Linked DNA regions of Struthio camelus. The protein of the gene in region 3 purifies or fractionates together with the protein of the main gene of each other region. This does not show direct contact. Links are inferred from orthologs where the notes say so. Each region holds a gene or a part of one and is shown on either strand. Other genes may lie near its edges.

Region 1 (7,683 bases), on a different chromosome or scaffold from region 3:
TTGCTTAGGGGAAGGTTGCAACGTAAACCTGTATGTTCATAGGTATCAGAGAATAAGCAGGGGAAAAAGGCATTAGCTGCATCAAAAATTTTAAGTGGAGCTTGCGCCTTTTTAGGTGTCAAAGTTGATCACCTGTGAGACACAAGCTTAGGTTTTCTTAGTACCAGCTCATGGAACTGCTGCTTGTTTTACTAGTATGTCTAAATATCCATTAGCATTCTTCTGAATTTATAGTGAAAACGAATGAGATCAGGCACAATTTTCTGCGTATATTTTCTCCCTTCACCTCTGTGTTAATTTTTCTCCCCTGTATAACTCATTGCTGATTATTAGCTTAGCTTCCACTAAATCTCTTTCAGAGGCTGGCATTTTAACTTACCAGCTTGAGTTCTATATTGTTGACATATTAAATTGCAGAAAGCAGCAAAATTACCACAGCCTGAGTTCGCACTGTCTTTTTTTTAAGACATTGCATGATATGAATAAATCATGTTGCCAGCCTGCCACGATGCATTAATGAAGATGCATACCCTCTTACCCTACCCTCTTACTGGATGTTAAGTGAGAACCTTTCCACTGTCTTTTTTCTCTTCATTTTCACTATGGAAGAAGCTTTCTAATTCTGCACATCAGTTTGCTTACCAATCCTGCTGTTGCCTAACACAATAAAAATCAGTTATATAACTGCCTTTGCTAGACGTTCACAGAACATTCACCGAGATGGCATGATGGCTGCAGCATCTTTATGCTTTCCACTGTATCTCCTGTTCACTATTATATGTGATACACTCTGCTTTTAATATCGACCATTTTATTTTTTGTCACTTCTTGACATCATAGTTTAAAATAGTACATACCTAAATCTAAGATCATAGCCTTGCAAAGACAAAGTAGAGAAAAAAATATGTTCTGATTTACTGCCAAAAAGACTGATACTATAGCATTGTTACCTCCAAAAAAAAAAAAAGCATCACCTACACAGATTGTCACATCGTATTTTTAATACTCTAATTTTGAACCAAATTCTTAAAATAACCTGTGTTTGCAGATTACCAGCTGGCCTTTTTATCTGAATAATGTCCTGATTAGTGAACTCCCTCTTATCAATCCAGCAAGTACGGGGTGTCATTGTTCACCTCATTCACAATTCATCTTTTAATTAACAGTATCACAGGCAAAAATCTATTTTGGTCAGCGTAATTTGTCATTGGAATTGGCAGTACAGAAATAAAAGAATTACCTTCTGAAATTATCTGAAGACAATGTAGGAGATGGTGACTGCAAACCTACCTTAACTAGCACCAGAGAGGAAGGGAGGGAAACCACGTAAATGACTATGGCTTTTAACAATTTTATTTGCAATGTAAAAATCACTACTTTGGTCATTCAGTATCTGCTAGGCAAACTGTTCTGTCAAAATTACTGTTATTGAAAATAGAAACCTGAATCCTACTCTTAGACACATGCTTTACTCGTAAAGGGCTGCTGACTTACAGAAGTTTGAAGAGAGAGATACAGATGTCTTTTCAAGGTTATGATCTTAGATATAGGTTTGCAATAAAGCAACAAAATGCTGATCATTTGCTTTAATAGTTAAACTTTGAAATTAAGTTACAGCTACAGCACTGCTTTAGAGAGTAGACAAAGAAGTACATTTTTTAACTACTACTTTTATTTTTTGGTAGCAGGAGATGAACCTTTCTTACTGAATAAAATGCAATTCTGAATCCATCTCTCAAGACTTAAGGTGTCTGTCTAATGACATAAGAATCCATCAATGTGGGAAAAATTGAATAACATTTTATTTATCTGGGTCTGTAAAGAAGACATCTGTCCCTACAGTCTATATAGACATTTGTCTGTTTATTTTCAAATCAATGCACTTAAAACAACTGCATTTAAGGCACAGTCAACATACCACCAAACCAGCCACTTAAAAACTCCCTCCACCATCCCTTTACCTTATGACGGCTTCCATTCCTATTCTCAAATGCTGTGGAGGACTTTGCAACATGCCCTGAAAATGGTCAGATTCAAGGAATATTCTGCCAAAAAGACAATCAGTTCTGTAACCAGACCAGCTCTTCAGAGCATGCTCTACTGGAGGCCCTTTCTGTTTCAAAATAGCTAGACCTCAGCTTGGCTGCTGCTGGTGGCTTCTGTTACACTAAAGTGGAGAGGCAGTTTTGTAGGGTGGAAGATCCTGTTTTGTTAGTAGCTTTTAAAACAGTTTTTAGATAGGGACCACCAGTCTCTACTGTGAAAATTAATATTATATAATAATATAATATAATAAATTATGTATATTTACATTGTTTTTAATGAATGCAGCTTGTATTAAACATACCGGAGGCTAACTAACTTACTCGACCCCTCCTGTTCATAGTGCCATTTAGTTATTTTAATGGCAGAGACAAGCTGGTGCTTACACAGGCGCATCAGAAGGTCGAAGAGATATAACAGATATCTACAGCTTTACAGCCCTGATTCTGTAGCTTTCTGTGGGCTATCTTGTGTGTTGAGAGCAAGATGAAACCCAGAAATACATCACTGAGAGCAGGGAAATGCTATGAAGGTTTAATAATAACCCCATTAACATTAAATCCTATGGATTTATTTTCTTCAGTTTTTATCTGATAATAGACCTGGGAAGAATTAGTTTTTTTGGCAGAAGATAAAGACAGTTTGGCTCCTCAACCTTAAATATTGTTCCTGAATTTGAATAATATCTAATCATTATGAAGTTAATGGCACAGACTAAAAGTTATGAAAATTTCTATCCAAGGTTATAAAAAAGTATACCTAAGAAGTTGTTAGGCTGAAATAACGGCTTTGCAAGTTTAGTTTATTTTTGGGTCACCCTCCTTTCTAGGTAAAATAAGATGCCTTTCGTATTACTGGACCACTGGGTTTTTCTAACATTTTCTACATGCAGCCGAGGAGAGATCATTAAATCATACAGCTTTCTTTTACCCTCTGCCTTCTTCCAGACAAGTGCAATCTTCTGTATTCCTTGTGCATTAACAGCACATGAATAAGAGGCAGTGAAGATTTTACTGATCTTCTGAGGAATACTGAATTATTTTCTCTGTTCTAAGAACAATTATGCAAAATGTGGAAAACAAAAATAAATGAAGTAGAAAGATGTACCCTTTATATAGTAATGATACAATCCGACAAAAGGAAATTAAGATTCTCCTTAGAATATTAAGAGGTGAAATTAATATTCTAAAGGCCATGCTTTTACGATTCTCTCATAGCTCTGGTGAAAAAAAAACATCTTTTTCAGTTCTTGCAAACAGCCTCTCCAGAGATGTGTGTTCCTTTCATCTCCAAAAATTAACCAGAATTCACAAACAAATTAAAGTATGTAAATGCAATGGTTTCTAAACAAGAGCTGGTAGAGTACGCCTAGTAGGGAAGCGTGCGCTGCTGCCCCCTGATGCGAGGAACGTTAAAGCCGTTCAAGGGCCGCCAGCCAACGGCGCGCTGCCCAATTTCTTTCTTTCATTAGTGTATGGCCCGAAATGTATCTGTTACTTTTAGACAAAAATAAGGTAATGGCTATCCCCTGAGTAACTCAATATTTATGTTGTTAGTTGAGGAGAAGGAAGAAGAAGAGACCAAAAAAAAAAAAGAAGCAAAACAAGCAGAAAACCCAACTGTGCACAACCACCACGAGAAGCTTTTGAAAATCGTTAACAGGCACAAACTGCTGTTTAGAACCCACTTTTAACGCATGCTTTTGTTGTAAATCACTATCACCTGGCAATGGTAACATTTACGACCATCGCTGACTAATACTTCACGCAATTGTAGCACAGTTTGTCTTGCCACTCTCCTGTCTGTGCATCCACCTCTTGCACCCTGGAGCAAATCTGGGAGCGTAAGCTGGCTGGAGCAGGGGCTTCCTTGGTATTGTCTGCTGGTGTAATTTCTGGCAAACCGGGTCGCCATCTCTGCGTAGGTGCCCAGACGGTGCCGGGTTCAGGCCGGCGCAGAGAAGGGCGGCAGGGCGGCAGGCCGCGAAGGCGCCCTGCTAGGCCAGGGGGGCGGCCGGCCCGTCCGCCCCCGGGGCCGCGCGCCTCCTCTGGGGCTCGGGGAACGAGGGCCGCTGCGAAACGGGATTTAGAGCTTCAGCGATTTTTGCACTTTGTGAAATTGCTCTTTAAGCCGTAGCTCCAAATCCATGTAATTTGCAGGATTGTTTTTTCTTTCCTTGAATAAAGCAGTTTTTCACCTTCCTGGCTGACAGGCAAGGGTGACCAAAGTGCATCTGAAAAACTTAACCAGAAGGCAAACAATATTGGCGTGCGTGTGTACCGGGACCGAAGTCCAGGTGTCGCGGGACGACCCCCGCGCCCGCGGGGGCCGGGCGAGCTGTGCGGCCTGCGGGGACTGCAGGGCTCCTCCAGCCCGGCCCGGCCACCCTCTCCCCCCGGGCATCGCTTTGAGTTAGAAGGGAGGAAGCAAAGGAGGGAGTGAACCGGGCCGGGCCGGGCCGCGCCTGCCGTGGCCGGGGAGGGCGCCGCCTCCGAGGAGACGGGGAGGCGGCGTGCGGGCGCCGCGGAAAGACTACAACTCCCAGCGTGCTCCGGGGGCCGGCGCGGCGCGGTGACGCGGAGGGCGGTGACGCGGAGGGGGCCGGGCGGGGCGGAAGTGGGTTCCCCTCGCAGAGCCGCCGGCCGGGCCCGGTTCCGGGTGTCCCTTCCTCGGCGCGGGGCGGGGGAGGGGAGAAGATGGCGGCGGACTTGGAGGCGGAGGTGCAGGCTATTGACAAGAGCCTGCTGGAGTGCTCCGCCGAGGAGATCGCCGGGGTGAGGCGCCGTCGCGCCCTGTCGCCGGGCCGCGGGGGCGGCGGCGGGCCCGGGGCCGAAGCGCGCTCGGTGCCTGGCGGCGGCGGGGAGGGAGGGAGCGGGGGCTGCTAGGCCGGCGGTAACGGCGGCGGGGCGGGGGGGGGGGGCAGTACAGCCGGGCTGTGAGGGCTAGAGGGGCCGTGCTGGGGAGGGGGGGGAGCGGAGGGGGCAGAGGGGCTTTCCCCGCGGGGGTCGCGGGCTGGGCGCTGCGAAGGGCGCTGCGGGCTTGAAGCCGCGTCGCTCTCCGGCTCCAACGTGCTGTTGTCACCCGTGTCGCTCTTGCGGCAGCCTGAACGCAGCCGGCTTTTCCTGTTGTGCGGGCTTGCTCGGGCGGCTCGGGCCGGGCCAGCCCCGCGGCCGCAGCGCCCGGCGGCGCCAGGGCACCGGCCAGGCAGCAGCGGGGGCGGCGGGGCCGCGGCCTGGCCTGTGGGAGCTCGTCCCTCGGGCTGCCCTTGCTTCCTGGCCTTCTCCACGCAGCTCGGGAGTTTTGTGCTGCTGTTTTGCTTCACCTCTCGCTGTCTTGAAACGAGAAGAGCCTCCCTGTTCCTTAGCCTGTTAATTTAAGTGGAAGCCTCGTCCCATATACGCTTTGCAAGATTGAGGTTTTTATTACAGGGTTCCCGCTCCCCACCCCCTCCTTTTTTTTTTTTTTTTTTCCTCCTCTCCAGTATATAAGATGCAGTTCTGGTGAAAGCTTATCCCAGTTAAGTTTGGGACTATTAGGATGGGAAGCTTGTGGAGGAAATAGCTAGTAGAATCAGGGTAATACTTGAAGTCACCTACTTTCTTATATAGACTTTTCCAGCATTTGTAGAGAGTAGCAGGAAGGTCAAAGAAGGGGAATCTTAAGGGTAAAGTTTTCAAGGAACCATTTTATTTTTGCTTCTGAGGTAGATGCCTGATCTTATAGGTACATTTAGGTGCATTTGAGGAACTATATCTATACGTTTGTGAACATATTGGCGTGCTTTGTGTGCGTTTCTGTAGGATAAGACGTCAGAGAGCTTTTTCGTGTATTTTAATGAGAGTTACATTGTCTCCTTTCCAAAATAAAATGAAAGACAACGTTGTAATTCAGGTTAGCCTCAGATTACTGTCGTATATCTACAGTGCAGAGACAAAGGTGTGATTAGGTAGGCAAATGTGCCCAGTTAGCTATATCCTAGCTAGTTTAGTTCAGTGTAGGTAGCAGTATAGGTTTACGTAGGTTCATCATTTTTAGATGATTTTCTAGAGCATGTGTTAGTTACTTACCTGAGCTAAAGGCACACCAAATGGCACATGTCTAAGAATCTGCCATAGGTGCAAGGTCTTCTTTAAACTTAGTCAGTTCTTTCTCATTTTTCCCCCATAATCACCAGCATAAGCTACAATTCAGCGATCTGTTCGTTTCAGACCCACAGTGTGCTAGCAGTTAAATGCTATTGGCACTCCCTGAACGTGTAAGTAAACAGCACAGCTGGTCTTTAGGTCTGTTTTTCTCCCTCCTTTGCTGATAGTATTACTTTGCTGATAGCACAATACTAACAAAATAAATGCCAGTCCAAAGCTATAGTTATAGTACTTTGCATTTCAGTTTCTTATTGCAACAAGTTAACTATGAACCTCCAAAGAACAATAATCAGAAGAATAAATGACTGTCATCTGTAACAGAATATAAGCCTACATTGCAGATATTAATTTATATAGCTAACCAAAGCCATAAATACGTAAGGTATGCCATTTAGCTCTGGAAGTAGTAAATTGAGTTGTTTCATGACTTTTTTTGTATCGTGCATTTTGTTCAGCTATTTTGTCTCTTAATTAAATGTAATTTAATAGAAACTCTGATGGACCCTTAGGTGTTTACTTGTATGAGTGTTATTTAAACAATGTTTTTTGATTCTATTTATTTATTTATTTATTTATTGGCACTCAAAAGTGCAGGAGAATAAGTCAGGGGAGGAAATGAAGGAGGATACATTTCCCTTTTTATTAAAAGAATCTCATGGCAGGGTAGAATATTAATTTTTCCTACGTGTCAATTCAGGGTAGAAGATTAGGCAAGTTTTCAGTTAGTATTTGTCTAATATGAAATACTTAGGCCAAAAAATAAATTCTAAAGTTTTGAGTAGTTTTTTACTGGGATTCAGTGCCTCTCAGGTATCAGTCCGCTAGCAAGTTAGCATAGCTTTCAGTTTTGTTTTGTTATTTTGTTTTGTTTTACAAGCACTCTAAGGGACACCAGAAATGCATCTATTTCCTTGTCCTAGCAGTCCACATTTCTTTCCTTCTGGTATTCTTTTGGCCAGGATCTAATACTCAGAACTATATGCACAGCTACGTGTATAGAATTCAGTTCGTGAAGAGACGTAGGTGTGATGACATCCAGTGTTGCCACACCTAACTTTCAGGCAAGTACTGCTGGAATTTTTGGGAAGGGAAAGCTGTTTACCTGAGGAACAACAATTTTCTCTGGCTAGGTATTTGTCTGAGCTTGTAGTGTAACTAATATGTGCTATATCTTTTCTAGATAGAAATTACTAAGGTACTTCAGATTTAAAAAGTTGAAATTAAAGGCATTTTGCTAAGAACAAAATGCAAGTATTTTAACTAATACGTGCTCTAGAAAAATCATCTAAAAATGATCTTACTGAAGAGAGATGATGGAAGACACTAAGTTGGTTCCGCTGCAGTTAGGTCAGTTCCTCGTGCAGCAGTACGTCTTTGGCACAACTGATGGAAAGAGACCAAAAGATTCATGAGCTAGGGAAAAGGATGCAAATTCTTAGCAATGAAAATGTTAATGTTTCCATTTTTGTGGAGTAGTCTCTTAATCCTAATGGGA
Region 2 (7,875 bases), on a different chromosome or scaffold from region 3:
CTGCTCCGTGACAGCCCCTCTGCCACCCCGGGTCCCTTTCGCGTGTGCCTCTTCAGTGCCTTTTGCCCGCTGGCCCTGCTTGCGTTGCAGCTGCGATCCCCTGAAAAATGGCTCTATTCATTACCCATTTTAATTTCGCTCTGGATCCCCAGAGCTCTGCAGACACATTTTGTTATCCTGGCTGTCAAGAAGCTTAAAGAGCTGCTGACGCCTCCTGGAAAACTTTGACAAACCCTCTGTTTGGCCACTGCGCTGCCTCCCCAGCCTGTCTGCCCAGGCTTTCGGTTCTCTGGTTCTTTATTAGCAAAGATGTCGATGAGGACAGGAGGAGGAAAAAAACACCCATCGCTGACATTTGTGCAGAACTGATCTGCTCTTGAAGCCTCTTGCCTTCCAGTGGATGTCCTGGGACTTGGTGGACAGAGCTGAGCTGCAGGGTTGGGTGTGAATGTCCCCAAAGCCCAAATATTTGTTGCAGGCTGTTCTCTGGGCAAGCTCGATTTCGCAGAGGAAAAGGCCTCTGGGATGGGGTCATTGAATTTATCTCTTCCCTAAGCATCGCTGTTTAGAGCAGAGAGTTCAAACCTGTGGTGACACATTCTAGGGGATCCATTTTTAGATGGTTCATGAGACATAACCAAGGGAGATGCCTTGTGTATGAAGACCTGCATGCACCGTGCAGGAATTCACATTCCCAAGGGGAAAGCTCTTGCAGTCAGAAATTGAAAACAGTTCAAAATCACAAATTTAGCTGCTTATTTTTAGTCCCCCAGCACTCAGTTGGACTGGATTAACCCAGCGAGCTGAGCAGAACAGCTTCCTCGTCTATTCTGGCTCTCTTCGGCGATCTAATCCTCTCCCAATTAGTTTCTTTTTACAAAGTAGTTGTCAGGCTGCTTTTAGAGAACAAAATGCCCCTCCGTCTCTTCGGTAACATAGGAAAGTGCACCAGACACACCGGGAACAGATTGTCTCTAAATGTAATTTTGGTCAAAGTTCTGCGTAAGAAGTGCAGAGTCAGCCACATGCTTTTAGCATAATGAGAACGAGCCGGCCGAACTTGTAACCTCTGTGGTTTTGGTCCAGCTGAGAACAGAGTCATCTTCTGCTTCAAATCCTTCCTCCCAGCACCCCGTGGAGCTCTGAAATTTTGAGTGCCTTTGAGGTGCCACTCAAGCCAGCTGTCTCCAGGGCATGCGGGAGCACGGCTGAGTCTGTCAGTCCTCAGTGGTTTGTCAGTTAAAGAGGGATGAAGATGCACAAGGGAAGGGGAAAACAGAGCAATTAAAGCTCCATCAGAGGCAGGACAAAAAGGCTAGGCTTTCTGGGCTAATGCGGGCCCCTCTGTAGGGGTGAGGTGCCCAGATCCTGAGGGAAGCGATGTGAGTGACAAGCGTGTCCCCTTGCTCTCAGGTCTTCTTGCTCCCAGGGCACGGTGCGAGATGAGCCGTTAGGCTGGCTGTGTGGAGCCAGTGAGCTTTGCAGCCTGCTGCAAGCCTGAGGCTCCTTCCCACCTTGTATGAACCCAGGAAAATTCCCTGCTGCGCACCCGATCCCTCCCCGACTCCTGTGCTGGGCTCCTGGTGCGGGGGCTGCTTGTTTTTTCTTGCAGTCCTTTTTCATTCCTCTCTCTCTGGGGCGGACCCTCCTCGGAGGAGTCAGGAGGGGGCTGCTAACTGGCTGGAGGTGTGATGGGGAGCCAGGATGGCTGCGTGCTTTTCTTAGCTCTGCCACCTTGATTTTTTGCTCATCGCTATTTTGACAATCCATCAGTCTCTCCTTCAGCAAGAATAAATCGTTCTGACTTCCCTCCCAACCAGAGCTGAGCAGGGGAGAAATGGGGAACTGTCTCACACGGTTCTCGCAGCGGTGGCCTGGTGGCTGGTGCCCGCTGGGTTGCTGCCTTGCCAAGGGCTGGGTGATCCTGCCCTGTGCGCGAAGCGCTTCCCGAGGAGAGGAATAATTCATCGCCTCTCCTCTTGCGCCTGCAGCACAAGATAGTAGCCATGAGACCAAGGTGCCCGTGGAGTGCTCCTGAGAGACAGCACATTAAAAAGCAGTGGTGGGGGATTGCTTGAATATCTTTTCCTTCTTTATACGTTTAAGAGGTTTCACTGTCTCAGTAACTCCCCCAAGAGACCCAAGTAGCAGGCTCTTTGGATGTGAATACCTGACAAGTTTTTAATGTGAAAGGAATTCACTAAATTTAGTCTCTTGGAAAAAAAAAAAAAAAAAGGAAAAGGAGAACTGTTCCTTTCTATCTGGGGGAAGCGATCCAAACCCCAGCCGCTTTCCTGCAGTTAGAGCTAGCTCATTTGTTCTTTTCTCCTCTGTCTCGAAAGCTTTTAAGCTTGGGCCCCATGTGCCTCTCTGTGCACAAATAAGAGGTGGGAGAAAGGCAGGCACTGACACTGCTATCTCAAAGGGAACATACCAATTCCCACTTTCTCCGAGCCTCCACAAGGCAGATGATGACGAAGTTAGGGCAGTGGGATAAAGGAGGGAAGACCAAACCTGAGGAAAAGAACCCTCTTTGGGTGGGAAGGGACCTGCTGTCTGAGGGATAGGGATGTTATCTGTGCTTTCGAGTGGGTTTGAGCGACGTCAGTCTCTAGCACAAGCGGTGCCGACGTCCTAGCAGTTGAGGACGGGGTGTAAAAAGCACCTTTGCTGTGACACTCACCTGAGTTACCTACGTTGCACTACATCTCCTCTTCCTAGCCCTGCCGGAGCCCCCTAGGACCCCTTTTCTTCTCCATTCTGGCTGCTTGAGGGTCACTAGGGGCTTCCAGCAATCTCTGGCTCTCCTTCCTTGCTCTTTCCCAAAAGCTGGCAGCAGGCTCTGCGCTCTCCTTGATGACGGAGGTTTCCTGGTCTCCATGGCTTCACGCATTAGTTATCCTCTTCAACCAGGGTATCGAGCTGTGTACATGCTCTTAACTACTGGTGCATGCGGAGGCAAGCACGCTTGCTCAAACCTCCGTGAAAGAGGTCCACATGAGCACGTTTGCGTGTCTGTGCAAGGTGAGAGCGCGCGTTACGGCAGTGCAGCTGATGTGTGGTGACTCCTCAACTTCAATGGCATGCCTGAGTCGGACGGGCAAAGCGTGTGCCGGCAGTGCGGCCGCAGATCTGGCTGAGTGGCTGCACTGAAGGCAAGTGGGGCCAGGCTGAACAAACCATCTGTATTTATTGTCCCAGTGCCCGGAAACCCCCACTGCCGGCGCTCTGCAACCTGCCCCTGCTACATTGGGAGGTATCTGCGCCTGCAAGGTCATGTGCGTGGCTGGCAGCTCGTGGCCTCGCCCCAGGACGAAGTCACCCGCGCGGACCCCGTGCTTGAGCGAGCCGGCCGGGGTCCTGGTGAGGCGCAAGTGCCTGTAGCTCCATCCCCTGGCAGTCAGATCGGGTAGAGCAGCTCCCTGCCGTTTATATCCCAAACACCGCTGATGAAATCTGTGGGGGTGTAGTCCTGATTATAAACACTTTCTTTATTTGTCTTTAAAAAGGTCACTTCCCAACTAAGAAATGACAGAGCAACAGAGAGACCATCGCTCATCCCTGTAGGACCTAAAAACCCGTGCTGGACCCCGTCCTTGCCTCCGTGTCCGGTGCTGGTGGGCAGAGGGGGCCCGGAGGGAGGCAGACGGCTCCGGGAGCGGGAGGAAAGGGTGGGAAGAGGGGGCACCGCTGCTGCGCGGGAAAGGAAGTTGCTTCCAGGCCTGATAAGAGAGAAAAGAAAAGGAGAGAGCCTAAAGGGGAGAAAAAAAAAAAATGGAAGTGACAAAAGTGGCCGGCATGGTGTGTGTTTTTTGAAAAGACAAATAATCAACTCAAACCGTCAATTAATTTTTTTTTTTTTTGGTTTTAATGGCTTTTATTATTTCTCCCCTTTGTGACTTTATTTTTCAAAGCACCGCAGACGCGGTGCCAGTGTGGAAAGATGCTGAACTGGCAGCTCGGGAGAGCAAAGTCCTGCCTCTGTCCGTCCGCCCGCCCGCCCGCAGGAGGGAGGCTGCGGGCCGTGGCCCGGGGCAGGCGCCGAAGTGGCCTCGGCCCCCAAAACGGCCGCGGACCCTCAAAGCTCGTGGGGGCCCAAAATGGCCGCAAGGCCCCAAGGCTCGTGGGGGCCCAAAATGGCCACGGGGGCTCAGCGCGTCCCGCGGCGGGCGAGCAGCCAGGTGACGCGGGGCGTGTTTCACCCCAAACCCTCCCTCTCGTCCCCACAGTCGTGTTGACGGCCGCCTCCCCCCCCCCCCCAACCCCGCCCCGCTCCCTTCGCGCCCGGACATGGCCGCTCAGGGCTGCGCGACGGGCGGCCGGGGACCACGCTGGCCCCGTGGACGGAGGGAGCCGGGCGGCCGCTGTGCGCGGTGCCGCCGGCAGGGTTGGGGCCGGGGCCGGCTCGGCGGTCGGCAGCGCCGTGGTGGCGGGACCGGCGGGGGGGGAAAACGTGGCTGCTCAGGAGAGTCCCGCGGCCCCACCCGCGCCGTGGCCGCTCCTAAGTCACCTCCCTCCCTCCCACGCGTGTCGCCCCTTTAAGAGGCGGGGCGGGGCGGGCGAGCCCCCTCCCTCCTGCCCTCCCCCTCCGCGGCGCGGCCGAGCTGTGGCGCCCCCTGGAGGCGCGGGCGCGGGCGCCGCCGCCCCTCCCTCCCTCCCTCCCCCGCCCCGCGGCGTGCGCGTGCGCGGGCCGCGGGGGCGCGCGGGCGGGCGGGCGTTCCGTCGGGGCCCCGCGCCGCCGTCCCATTCATGCGGGGCGGCAGCGGCGGCGGCGCGAGCGCGGAGCCCCGGGTGGCGGCGGCGGCGGCGGGGGGAGGGCCGAGAGGAAGAGGAGGAGGAGGAGGAAGACGAAGAGGAGGAGGAGGAGGAGGAGAAGGGGGGGGGCCGGCGGGCGGCTCGGTGTGGAATGCAATTATGGCTGGCACGGCTGAGGCGAGCGGCGATCCACGGCGTGAGTAACCCGATTGCAACTTTCCTCCGCGGGCGCGGTGCGCGCATCTGCTTTTTGTGCGTGCTGGGGGCGGGCGGGATTGCGTTTTCCCCCTCATTCCCCCCACCCCTTAAAAAAAAAAAAAAAAATCAGGCGAAGAGGGGCTTGCCCGGGCAGGGCACTGCCGGGCCGGCGGAGCCGCCGCGCTGCGGGAGCGCGGGGCGGGCCGGGCCGCGGCTGCGGGGCCGGGGCGAGCCCGCATTGCGCTCCGAGCGGCCGGGGCGGGCGGCTCCGCGGCTCCCGGCGCTTGCAGAGGGAGGAGGAGGAGGAGAACCCCCCCCCCCAACCCCCTTCTCGGGCTCGCCCCTCTGTCCCCCCGCTTCGCCCCGTGCGTTTGGCAGGGCGCCGTCGGGGGGTGGAGGGGAGCTGCTCCTACCCTTGGGGGGCAGCGCCGACCCGGAGCGCCGCGGGCTGCAGCCAGCGGTGATTTTTTTTGGGGGGGGGGGCGGAGGCACGGCAGGGGGTGCGGGCGGAGCAGCCCCCGCCGCCTGGCCGGTGCCTCCCGGCGGGGCGCAGCCGCCGCATCGCCCGGTACGTGTCCCCCCGGCGCCCTCCCCCTCGCTGCCCACGGGCGACGTGAGCCAGGGGCGCCGCCGGTCCCGGCGCTCGCACCGTCGCGTCGTGGCCGCCAGCCGGGGCGCGGGGCAGCTGTCGGGGGGCCGCGGAGCCTCGCCGGCTCTGGTCCGCGCTGCGGCCGCGGGGGACGCGGTGCCTGCGGCCGGGGAGTTGCGTTGAAGGGCGGCGAGAGAAGCCGCGGTCCCTGGGCGTTTGGTGGCCCTCACCCCTCTCCCTTGCGTGCATCCGCCCTGCTGATGCCCGCAAACACACGCGGCGGCGGCTCCCAGTGCGCGAGCGGGGAGGGATTTGCGAAATCGCTGTGGCACGCTGAAATAAATCCCGAAATCCCGTCTTTTACCTTGTCCCCCTGGCGGGGGAAAAAAAAAAAAAAATCTTCCTTCTGCCCCCGGTGAAGTGCTTGCCGAGCGGGGGGAGCTGCTGTGTAAACAGGACTTAACATGAAGGTCACTGGTTAAAGAGGAGATGGATGGGAAAGAAAAGACAGGCATTAACCTCACTTGTTAGCTCCCCCCCCCTTCCCCGTGCTTTGGGGAGGACAAAACAAAAGCAGGACCTCCTAACACGCAGATGAATATTCATGGTTCTCGTATGCTCTGGGACACGCAGGGGAGAAAAGTTGGGGAGACGAGCTGCCTTTTCAAAGCTGCTTTTTCCTCGGGCTTGAGATAAAATCCCTGCTGGCGGAGTGAGGTCTGTATCGGAGCGAATTATTAGTCTTTTGCTGGATTTTTTTTTTTCTTTTGTGGGAAGCTGCAAAAAAAAAAAAAAAAAGGAAAGAGGAGACAAGGCTATTGACTACATCAAAGGTTATCCATTTGAAAACACCATTTTCCTCTGAACAGCAGCTAATTGCTTCCTGAACAATCTCAGGGTCTTTTGTATATACTCAGTGGGTAAAATGAGTGACTCGATGCATCTCTCTCAAGACACCGGAGACCGAATGTGGTGGAAACGTAGAGAATCTGGGGAAAATCAGTGGGCCAGAAGACTCGCGGATGATGTGCGGATAATTTCTTAAGTGGTTACAGAGAGGGAAGGTTTTTACTTCTGCCTGCTTGCCTAGTCCCAGTCTTCTGATATTAGTAAATTATAGCGCTGGCAGCAGCGAGACAATACCGGGCTGTGTGGGTGGTGAGGAAGTTTAAATTCAGCGTATGCGATCGTACGGCAGGGTGAAATACAGGCAAGAAGGGATGGGGATCCAGCCCTTCCCGGTCCTGGTCCGGGTGCGTCTTAGAAAGTCCCAGTGCCGCTCCTTAGGGAAAAGCCATGCGCTCGGATTAAGCGTGGGCAGATGTGCCTGGGGATGGATGGACGGACGTTCTTCCCCGGTGGAGTTGCAGGGAAGCAGCGGTGGGGGGCTGGTTGGCTCTTGCACCGTTTGGTGGCTGGGCTTTCTGTGCTGCCCTTGGTACTCTGAAGATTAGTTTTGATGGCTTTTTTTTTTTGTTTGTTTGCTTGTTTGTTGTGGTTAGCGCAGCAATATCGGTTCAGGGAGAGAGATCGCTCGTAGCTGGAGCTCTTCGGGGGTGAGGCTGGAGGAAGGGCTGAAGTTTACCCTCTTGGCCCTTTTTCACAGACCCAAAAGATTTGGAGTCGAGCACGGGAATCAACCTTCGTGCCCCTTTGGGGCTGTGCAGGTAGCCACGGAAAACAGCCCCATGCTGCTGTCCGTAAAACAAAGCACTCTTTCCTGTTGGAGGCAGAGGGCCCTGAAAAAGATAAGCAAACTCCTCCTAACTGTAGCGGAGATGGGACGGAGGGATGTGCGGGCGGTTTAGGGAGAGAGCTGCGCTGCTGAAATGGAAGAGGGTAATAAAAGCCGCGCTGCTGCATGCTGGCAGGGCTGCCTCCCCTCCTCCATGCCGAGACGCGCCAGCCGCAGCTCCGGCAGCGCTGGGAGCCGCTGGGGCCGGCCCCTGCTCTGCCTCCCGGGTGCAAATGTCAGGCCGGGCAATGCATTTCCGTGGCGTTGCTGCGCGTTGCACATCCGTTGAACAAAGGAAAGAATCTGGCCCTGGGATCGGTCTTAATGAAGGAGACTCGTGCGTGTTTATTCTCCCAGCTCGGAGCAGGTCAGGGCCTTTGTTGCCGTCTGACTTGCTCCCGGCTGTAGCGTCAACCACCGGCGGGAGCTTGGCTCAGCCTCGAGCTGCGAATTTGTGAGCCGAGGAGCCTGGTGTTGCAGTGCTCGTGCCGTCAGGCTCCCTGCAAAGTCAGGGGGAGTCTTGCCTACGGGAGCAGACCTCTGCTGAATCCCACGGTGCTTTTATTTTGACTGCCTTTGCCTCTCCGAGCAGGGTGCT
Region 3 (8,162 bases):
AGAAGTTCATAATCTAAGGGTCCATTATCGTCATTTGGGGGTGCTTTTCTCCTTTTGAAGTCAGACGGAGTTTGTCATTACCATCAATGGAAATACAGTCAGATTCTTAGTCCATATGGGTGGATTTACTATGCATTATTTCCTTCATCATAGAAATAGCTATTTCAGAACCCTTTGTATTACACGTATTGTATTACACGTATGATCACGTATTATTAGTAAGTATACTATTATAAATCCACATTTATCCTGTATATGTCTCCCACATCCTATTTTAGAAAAAAAGCAGATAACACTGAGAATATGCAAGCAGTACTGGAGAAAAGAAAGGGGTGGGGAAGATTTGGAAGCGTGTGGTGTTGACCACACTCAGATTTTGGCAGCTGTAGCAGTGCAAGCAAACAAGAATTAGTCTTAGGAGAGACCTGACTAGCTTGTTGTCAAAATAGGAATGGAAGTAGAATGATATGTGTGATGATTTGCCTTTGACATAGATGAAAACATTTGACTTTTGATAATCAGATAATCAACTAATAAAGCCTCGGGCTGTGCTAATTTGTTGGAGTGGAATGTGTTTGGACAGGATGATGAACATGTTTTGATAAGGCATTTGCGAGACATCACGGCTGTGATTGCAAGGAGTTTGGTAAGATATTTGTAAAGTCCCTACAATCCTAACAATGTAGTTAATGTGGAGATGATGTAAATGCAAATGAATCTGATCTCTAAGCAATACAATATAGGATCTAAATGTGTTTTGCAATGTATCGCCATATGTATGTTTAAATAATGTATAAATTAGTTGGCTCGGTTTTTTGAAAAACATGTTTTTGCAATGGTTCTTTGGAGAAGGATAATATGTGCAGTGAAAAGAGGAAGGATCGTTTAGATGCATGTGGCTATGTGTGGAAAAGAGGTGTAACGTGAGAGGACGGGGTAAAGAAGCATTGGGTGTGAGAGACTGAGTAGGAGGATAAAAGATGTAGGAGATAAAAGGGTTGAAAGAGGACAGATAGAGACAAGGGAAAATGTATGTCTGATCTTCAAGATAAGGGGGAATAGCTGCAGTTCAGTACAGTAAGCAACAGGAAGCCAAGTAGTGATTCACATGGCCAAAGCAACAGGAGAGGAGACGACACAGAAGCCTAATTTTGGACAGATTCTCGGGAAAGATAAACAAAAGAAAAGAAAACATTAATACAAAGGTCATAAATGAGTACCAGACTATATATTAAGATATTAGCAGGCACTAGTTGTCAAGGAAATACATTTCTAGTTCTCCAGGAAATACTGGTAGAAAGTCTCAGTTTTCAGAAATTTAATATTATGAATGGGTTTAATTTGTTGTGTTTCTTCCTCAAAAAAATGCCAAATAAAGGTGTCTTCAGCCATGGATTAACCATTTGCCAAATTTAATTTTGAATTAAATGCATTACTGTGCTATGTGAGAGCATAAAGGAGTAAACATCAGTTTGCTCTGTTCAGCTATTGTTAAAATAGGAAAACTGTTTTTTCCTTTGGAATTTTAAGTTTTACATTACATGATTTAGCCCACAGCAAATATTTTTTATGGCTGAATTATAAACTTCTTGAGAAATAAGTTTATAATAGAAGTGCAGACAATCTTCAAAAAAGCATTATAAGCACCAAGTCAAATTGCGAAGCAAAGATGGGCCTGAACCCAAACCCCAGAGCTAGCCACTCCATTAACTTTTACATACACTGGATTCAGATTCAGTCTTATAACACTAACTCATCCTTTCCATAAAATCACATTACTGATGTGAAAATGGAGAGCTGAACAAATGTGTAAGCAGTTGCAGGATCAGGACCCATAATACCGTGACTAAAATGTGAGAAGTGGATTATAAAAAAAGACTTCTGAATGTTTCATTTGATGCCAGTTTATATTCATGATGATTAAAGATTAAACATTTTCAGATAAATATATGTAAACCAAGGACAGAACATCTTCACTCCTCATTTCAGTGCAATTCATACATGAATAGAAACATGTGCCTATGTCTGTGAACCACAGAGAAAAAGATGGGTAGCAAAAACAGACTAATACCATTTACATTATGATAGGAGAGGACATTAATATAGCAGACTCTGCTATATTTTCTAGGGCAGACTCTGCTATATTTTCTAGGCCTTAGGAAAAAAAGCTCCTACAGAAAAAAAAAACCTTGGTGTCAAACCCAAAGTGTCCACGCTGTGCTGAAGAAAGGCAGAAGTCCTGCTTCACGGGCCGCATTCGCCGCAACAGAGGCTATTCCTGGTAAATTGTCTTTGCAGCCTCGTGCATATATCTCTGTGAAAGAGGAGGAAGCAATGATCTTTTAGACTTGAGCATGTTGAAATAAACCTTGGTATATGGATTAGTGGTTACAAGGTAGGTTGAGGTGATAAAAGCAACCTTTGTCGTTAGACTTGACCATTTAGCATATTATACCAGCTTCATTTAATGTAAATAACCTAAAATTAAGTATTTAGTTTTTCTTTCAGAATTTCTTTTAAAATATACTATCTAACAATATATTGTGCCTAAATCTACAGAAAATAACTTGCTAATCTGGTAGGAAAACAAATGGGGAAAAAATTTTTTTTTGTTTGGAGCATACAACTGGGAACAGGTAATTTTCTCTCTTCAGATTCATAGACCCTATCTGATAGGACAATGCTAATCCCAAAACGAGACAGTCACCACTTCTACATGATAAATGTAATTTTTTAATATACACACCCATTGAATTTCTGCTTAATAGTTTTCACTTTCAAAATTAAACTTGGCTTCTGAGAGTGAGCTTTTAACATGAACATGTATGTATACACTTATTCAAACCCTCCAATAAGCTACCATTAGTAGGCAATTTCTGAATTCAAAAATAGATATACTTTATTTAAATAGCAGTATTGTCCCTCAGTCAGTCTCAGACTGGAATGTGCTTCAGGACAGTACCAATTTATCTCAAGGACTGTCCAGCAGCATAAGAGTTTTAACAAGCAGAGAGCACTGTTACTTCTCCCCTTCCCCCTTGTTCTGGGAATTTCACTAAAAGAAAAAAAATTAAAGGGGGCTTAATGTGCTACCCATAAAATATACATCCCAATCAATCAAGAAAATGCATAAGTATTGTATATGATGATCCAGCGACTGCCTAAAGACAGGGAAATGAGACTGAACCCAATAACTCAGCCTGACTAGTTCCAGCCTGCCCAGCTCCCAGCTGAGGACCGTGGCCTGCCTGCAGACCCTGGCATGGGCAGGGGCAGAGACTAAGAGAAGAAAAGAATGAAGCACACAGAGAATATAAGAGGATCAAACTGTGCTTTAGTGCCTGATATTACAGAACTGCAGTCATGGAAGAGAACGGGAATGTCTGGCAAAAACTCAGAAAGTAGGGATGAGAGAGCGTACAGCATGAAACCGGCAGACAGATTTCCTATGGACTTAATCTCCAGACTTCAGCTGACCTTAAAGTCGAGGCTTCAAAAGGGCAGCGAGGGAGAGTGCGGGTGGAAGGCTTAGACTCCAGGCGGGAGACAAAGGGATGGAGGGGGCCGAATCTGTGTATGATTTCTGAACACAGATGTAACACATTTGTAGTTAATCTGTGCGGCTGCAAACTGACAACTATGTTTGAAAATTATTTCAAACATAGTTACATCTCTGGAGTGGACAGGGATTTACTGCTCCAGCTGCCCCAGGAAAATGACCCTGCCTCCTACCAAAGCCGGGCTTTTTTCCTTCTGATCCTTCAGAAAGACTCCAAGTGGAGCAGTTCCAAGTTCTGCTGTGGGTGAGGAGAGTGGCTGACATCCACCACTGGCCACAGGTCATTTTCCTAGCGCAAACCCATCTTTTGGGACCATTTAACACTGTGTTTCAACTTTCAGCCTTCAGAGCTCTTCCTCTAACCCCTGCTCTAGGGAGCAGATTAGAGGCCGCTCCCCTCGACACAGAGGGAGCTCAAAGCACTCCACATAAAAGCAGCAGCCAGGTTCAAATAGGTAATAACTCCCTGGGCGAAGGGGCAGCCTGTAAGGCAGAGCAACAGGGCAAGGAGAGGACAGGCCCTCGCCTGGGGAGCACCAGACCACCAAAGGCACCAGAGGGATTCAAAGCCCGCCGTGTCCCCTTTGTCCCCGGCACGGTGTGAGGATTGCTCAGAAGGAGACACGCACTCCTCAGAGAGGACTTGAGGTCGCGCAGCCTCCCTGGGGAGCAGAGGCGGCCGGGGGAGCCCAGCTGCTCCTCGGGCCCTTCCAGAGGTGGTGGGGGAGATGGGCAGAGTGAGGGGGCAAAGCGGTGAGGGAAGCGGAGGCAGGCAGGGAAGGAGAGCCACGGTGGGGGGAAAGGGGGTGCCAATAGGGGCGGGTGGCAGAGGGTGCAGGGATGCAAAGGGGTGGCCGCGGCTCGGCCCCCGCCAGCGAGGCCGGCAGCCCCTGGGCTGGCAGAGGACGGTGCTGCCCCACGGCGGGGCTCCGGAGGGACAGGCGTGGGGCCGGGTGCCCCCTCGGGGCACGCATGCACTTGCTGGGGAGCAAGCGGGGAGGAAAAGAGCGGGTCCGGGAGGGCCGGGCGGGTGCCCGGGCCGGGGCGCAGGGAGAGCAGGGCAGAGAGGGCAGGGCAGGGCGGCGGCGGCGGTGCGCGGGCGCGCAGGACCCGCGGCGGCCACTCCGCTCCGCTCCGCGCCTCGCCGGGCGCAGGTGGGCGCCGCCCGCCCGCTCTACCTGCCCGCGGGACCGGCCTGGCGGGGGAGGCCGGCCCTCGCCCCTCGCCCCCCGACCGCCCCTCTTAGCCCACCCATCCGCCGCTGGGTTTCGGGGCTGGGGCTCGCTGTGTTTGTTTGTTGATCCTCCGGCGCTGCCGATGTCTTGGGGGGCTGAGGAGGAGGAGGAAGAGGAGGAGGGCGGGGAGGGGGAGGGGACTGGGGCTCGGGAGACGGCGGCTCCTCTGCCTCTCTTATTGCCGCTGAGTTGCGCTCCTCTTCCTCAGGCTGCGAGCAGGAGCCGCCCGGGCGCTTCCCCCTTCGCGGCCGGCCCGGAGTCCCCGCGGCGGCGGCGGCGGCGGCGCGCTCGCTCCCGCCGGGGCAGGTGAGTGCGGGCGCCGGGCGCCGCCGCCGCCCCGGGCTGCCGGCACCGGGCGGGGGAGCGGCAGCTCGGCCGGGCCGGGCCGGGCCGGGCCGGCGGGGCGGGATGCAGTTCGCAAAACTCCTGAGCCCGTCTCGTCCCCGCTCACCGCCGCTTTCTCTTGCTTCTCTCCTCTCCGCAGAGCACCCCCGCCCCGTGCCCCGGACCCCTCCCTGGCAGAGCGCTTCCGAGGTGCCGGCAGCCGCAAGGATTTTTGTCTGTCTTGTTTGTGTGTTTGGGTTTTTTTTTGTTCTGTTTTTTTTTTCCCTCGTTTTCATTTGGCTTTCTAGTCTCCCTGGGAATGGTAGGGGCAGTGGCGCCTGGAGAAGGAACAAGTGTGGGGAAAGGGAGAGGGAGCCGAAGCTAAATGACAGGATGCGGGCGACTTGAGGCACAGAAAGAGAAGCCAGCAGCTCTCGGCCACGGGGACTGCCCTTGCGGACCGTGCTTTCTGCTCCCAACTCCAGCTGGAGGATTTAAGACCTAGGAAGAGTTGTGTGTGGAGGGCTTTTTTTTTTTTTTTTTTTTTTAAACCTCCTTTCGCTGCGCTCGGAAGGGAAGATGGATTGGAGACTTCTCCTGCACTGTGCAGCCCTCACCTTCACCCTCGCCAGGGCTCTGCGAAGCGGTAAGTGTCACAGGGGACGTCGGGTCTCAGCGTAGGCAAGCAGTTTCAGCGCTCGGGCTCCGAGGCTCTGAGGGAGGACAATGGGGCACGGCAGACAATGGGGCACGGCAGACAATGGGGCCGGCACCGACCCGAGCCCGGCTGCGGGGAACTTTCTGCCAAAGGACCGACGCGGCGCGGTCCTCGCCTGAGTTTCGCCCGCCCTGGCATTGCCTTCTCACTTTATTTTCCGCTCTTTGGGGCTGTTGTACAAAGCAGGCTGCTCGTTCTCACAAGATCAGGACCGTCAATTATCTTGATAATGCTTCCTCCCATAGGCAATTAAATAAGTGTCGCCTCCGAAATCTGAAAGATAATGAACACTTTAAGGAAAAGGCTTTTTCTCCCTCCTTTCTTTTCCAAAGGGCAAGATTGAGTATCATGCCTTTTACTAGCTGTGTGTGTACCTGCGGGTAGTCTGCAGACGGAGATCTCCCTAGCGTACCCTTTTCCAAAGTGTGCAGTTTACGTGCAACTTGCACAGTGCCAAGAGAAAAGCTGAGCCTCTGTGTGAAGGCTCAAGACTCCTTTCTAATAGCGAAATCTTCCAACAAATGACTGATCTAGCTAGTTTACTATTAGGCAGCCCGTGAAAACAGAATTAATTAAAAGCAACGCGCTCCTCCTTCCCTGAACAATGCCAGGGCACCGGGAATATTTCACTGCTTGATGCATTTTTAAAGACGGTCTAATTGTGGGACTGTTTGACGTTTAGCTCTCGTTCCAGAAACAGCTCGTGCGAGTTTTCCTTTCCCGACAAATCCTAAGCAATTATTATTAACTAATTATCAAATATTTACTTTTGCCTGACTGGGTTTTAAATCAGAGTAATTAAAAGAAGAGAGCACCCTCCACTTACGCTGGTATATTGTTTTAATAAGAGACCGCAAGTGGAGCCTCTTGGAAGAGAGCGCATTAAAATCGCATGTTTTATGATGGAAGTTAATCTCTTTCCCAATATATTTTGAGGAAGCTGCTTGATTTGCTAAGGACGAGCCGCCTCCCCCGGTGATGGGGCGCAGGAGCGAAGGCGTTACCAGGCGAGCGTCAAGCCGGGCTGGGGGCTGCTGGGCGAGCTGCCCCGAGCCCCAGATGCGGCGGCCGGCAGCCGCCTCCCTGGCCCCCGGAGAGCCCGGCACTGCTCCTGGCTCTGCACCCCTCTGAGCATGGGAGGGGGCGCCCTGCGGTCTTCTCGATCGTTTACTCCCCCTTAAAAGAAAAGTAGAAGGGTGGGCCGCTGGGCAGAACCACTACCTTGAGCGGGTAATGTGGTGGCCCTCCTGGAGTCACCCAGGCCGTTAACCTCCTCTGTAACCTACCAGACCTGCTAATACCTCCTTCACCTACAGCCCATGCTAGTGTCTGCTAAATTAATTCATTAACCTCATTTAGAACTAATGGTCCAAAGTCATTAGAAACTGCTCTTCTTAATCAAGTGTGAGGGAGATTGCACAGAGCCAGGGAGTCTAGCAGACCGTATTATCTTATTACACTGTCACTTTCCCAGAAGTCGGAGATTAAGGCGCGCTGGTGGTAGTGAGTCCACCTCAGCGTCCACTGAAGTGACTCTGTCAAGTGACTAGAAGCAGCACTGCTTTATTTCAGGCATTTAACAGATGCCAGACTCTGCCATGTTGTTTGCAGGGCTGGAGTGGATTTAATGAGACAGGATCACTTTCCGAGTGTGCTTACGGAGAGAGGAAAAGGCAGGATTCTCTGCGAGCCCTAGTAAGGCGGATTAGAAAGATCACCAGTGACAGCTTTTGAGCTTTGAGCTGCAACGCCTTTTGTTCTGGTCAGAGGCAAATAGCCTGCTTTACAAAGGCAAAGCGGAAATAAATAATAAGATAACCATTCCCAGCAACATGCTTAGCAATATCTGTTTTTTGACCAGACAGCAGAATACATATCATCGCCTTCCTTTCTAATTTATGGCAAATAATCCCCGTTAAGGTGTTCAGCTTTATGCATTTTTGATGTGTACTTCCTTGTTCATTTCCATTTGACCTGGTTTTCCTACAATAAAATTCTGTACATTTATAAATTCATGCTGAGAGCAAGAAATGCCATTTGGCTGTCATAGAGAATGTATTAGACACAGCATTGCAGTCTGTACATATAGTTATTGGGATATAGTGGTGTATAGACTTGCTTTTTAGTGCAGACATTCTTCCTGTCTGTAGTTTACTATCATATTTTATTGGTGAAAATTAAACAATCAGTGTGTGGGGAAAGGTTTTCTCCCTGAAGATCTATAGAAAGAAATCCATAGTAGTAAAAAAAGTGATAACACAAGCCTGCACTGGACTGTGAAGTGAGTGATCATGCAGATTAGATTTCTTGCCTCTTTTTATTCTCC

Evidence for each region.
Region 1: the proteins of NRP1 (region 3) and UBR2 purify together in Homo sapiens (affinity purification with mass spectrometry; 3 studies listed by BioGRID and IntAct, counting the BioPlex papers as one, with this or other methods). This does not show direct contact. The link is inferred for Struthio camelus from reciprocal best matches to the Homo sapiens genes NRP1 and UBR2.
Region 2: the proteins of NRP1 (region 3) and PLXNA1 purify together in Homo sapiens (affinity purification with western blotting; 4 studies listed by BioGRID). This does not show direct contact. The link is inferred for Struthio camelus from reciprocal best matches to the Homo sapiens genes NRP1 and PLXNA1.

What each region holds. Positions count from the first base shown.
Region 1 is NC_090944.1:112,908,920-112,916,602, reverse strand, and holds the start of UBR2 (E3 ubiquitin-protein ligase UBR2), read left to right. Parts: upstream 1-4,604; 5' UTR 4,605-4,739; coding exon 4,740-4,817; intron 4,818-7,683. UniProt on the Homo sapiens protein: E3 ubiquitin-protein ligase which is a component of the N-end rule pathway.
Region 2 is NC_090955.1:7,871,877-7,879,751, forward strand, and holds the start of PLXNA1 (plexin-A1), read left to right. Parts: upstream 1-4,837; 5' UTR 4,838-4,951; intron 4,952-7,875. UniProt on the Homo sapiens protein: Coreceptor for SEMA3A, SEMA3C, SEMA3F and SEMA6D. Necessary for signaling by class 3 semaphorins and subsequent remodeling of the cytoskeleton. Plays a role in axon guidance, invasive growth and cell migration.
Region 3 is NC_090943.1:16,657,617-16,665,778, forward strand, and holds the start of NRP1 (neuropilin-1), read left to right. Parts: upstream 1-4,929; 5' UTR 4,930-5,100; intron 5,101-5,278; 5' UTR 5,279-5,697; coding exon 5,698-5,764; intron 5,765-8,162. UniProt on the Homo sapiens protein: Cell-surface receptor involved in the development of the cardiovascular system, in angiogenesis, in the formation of certain neuronal circuits and in organogenesis outside the nervous system. Mediates the chemorepulsant activity of semaphorins.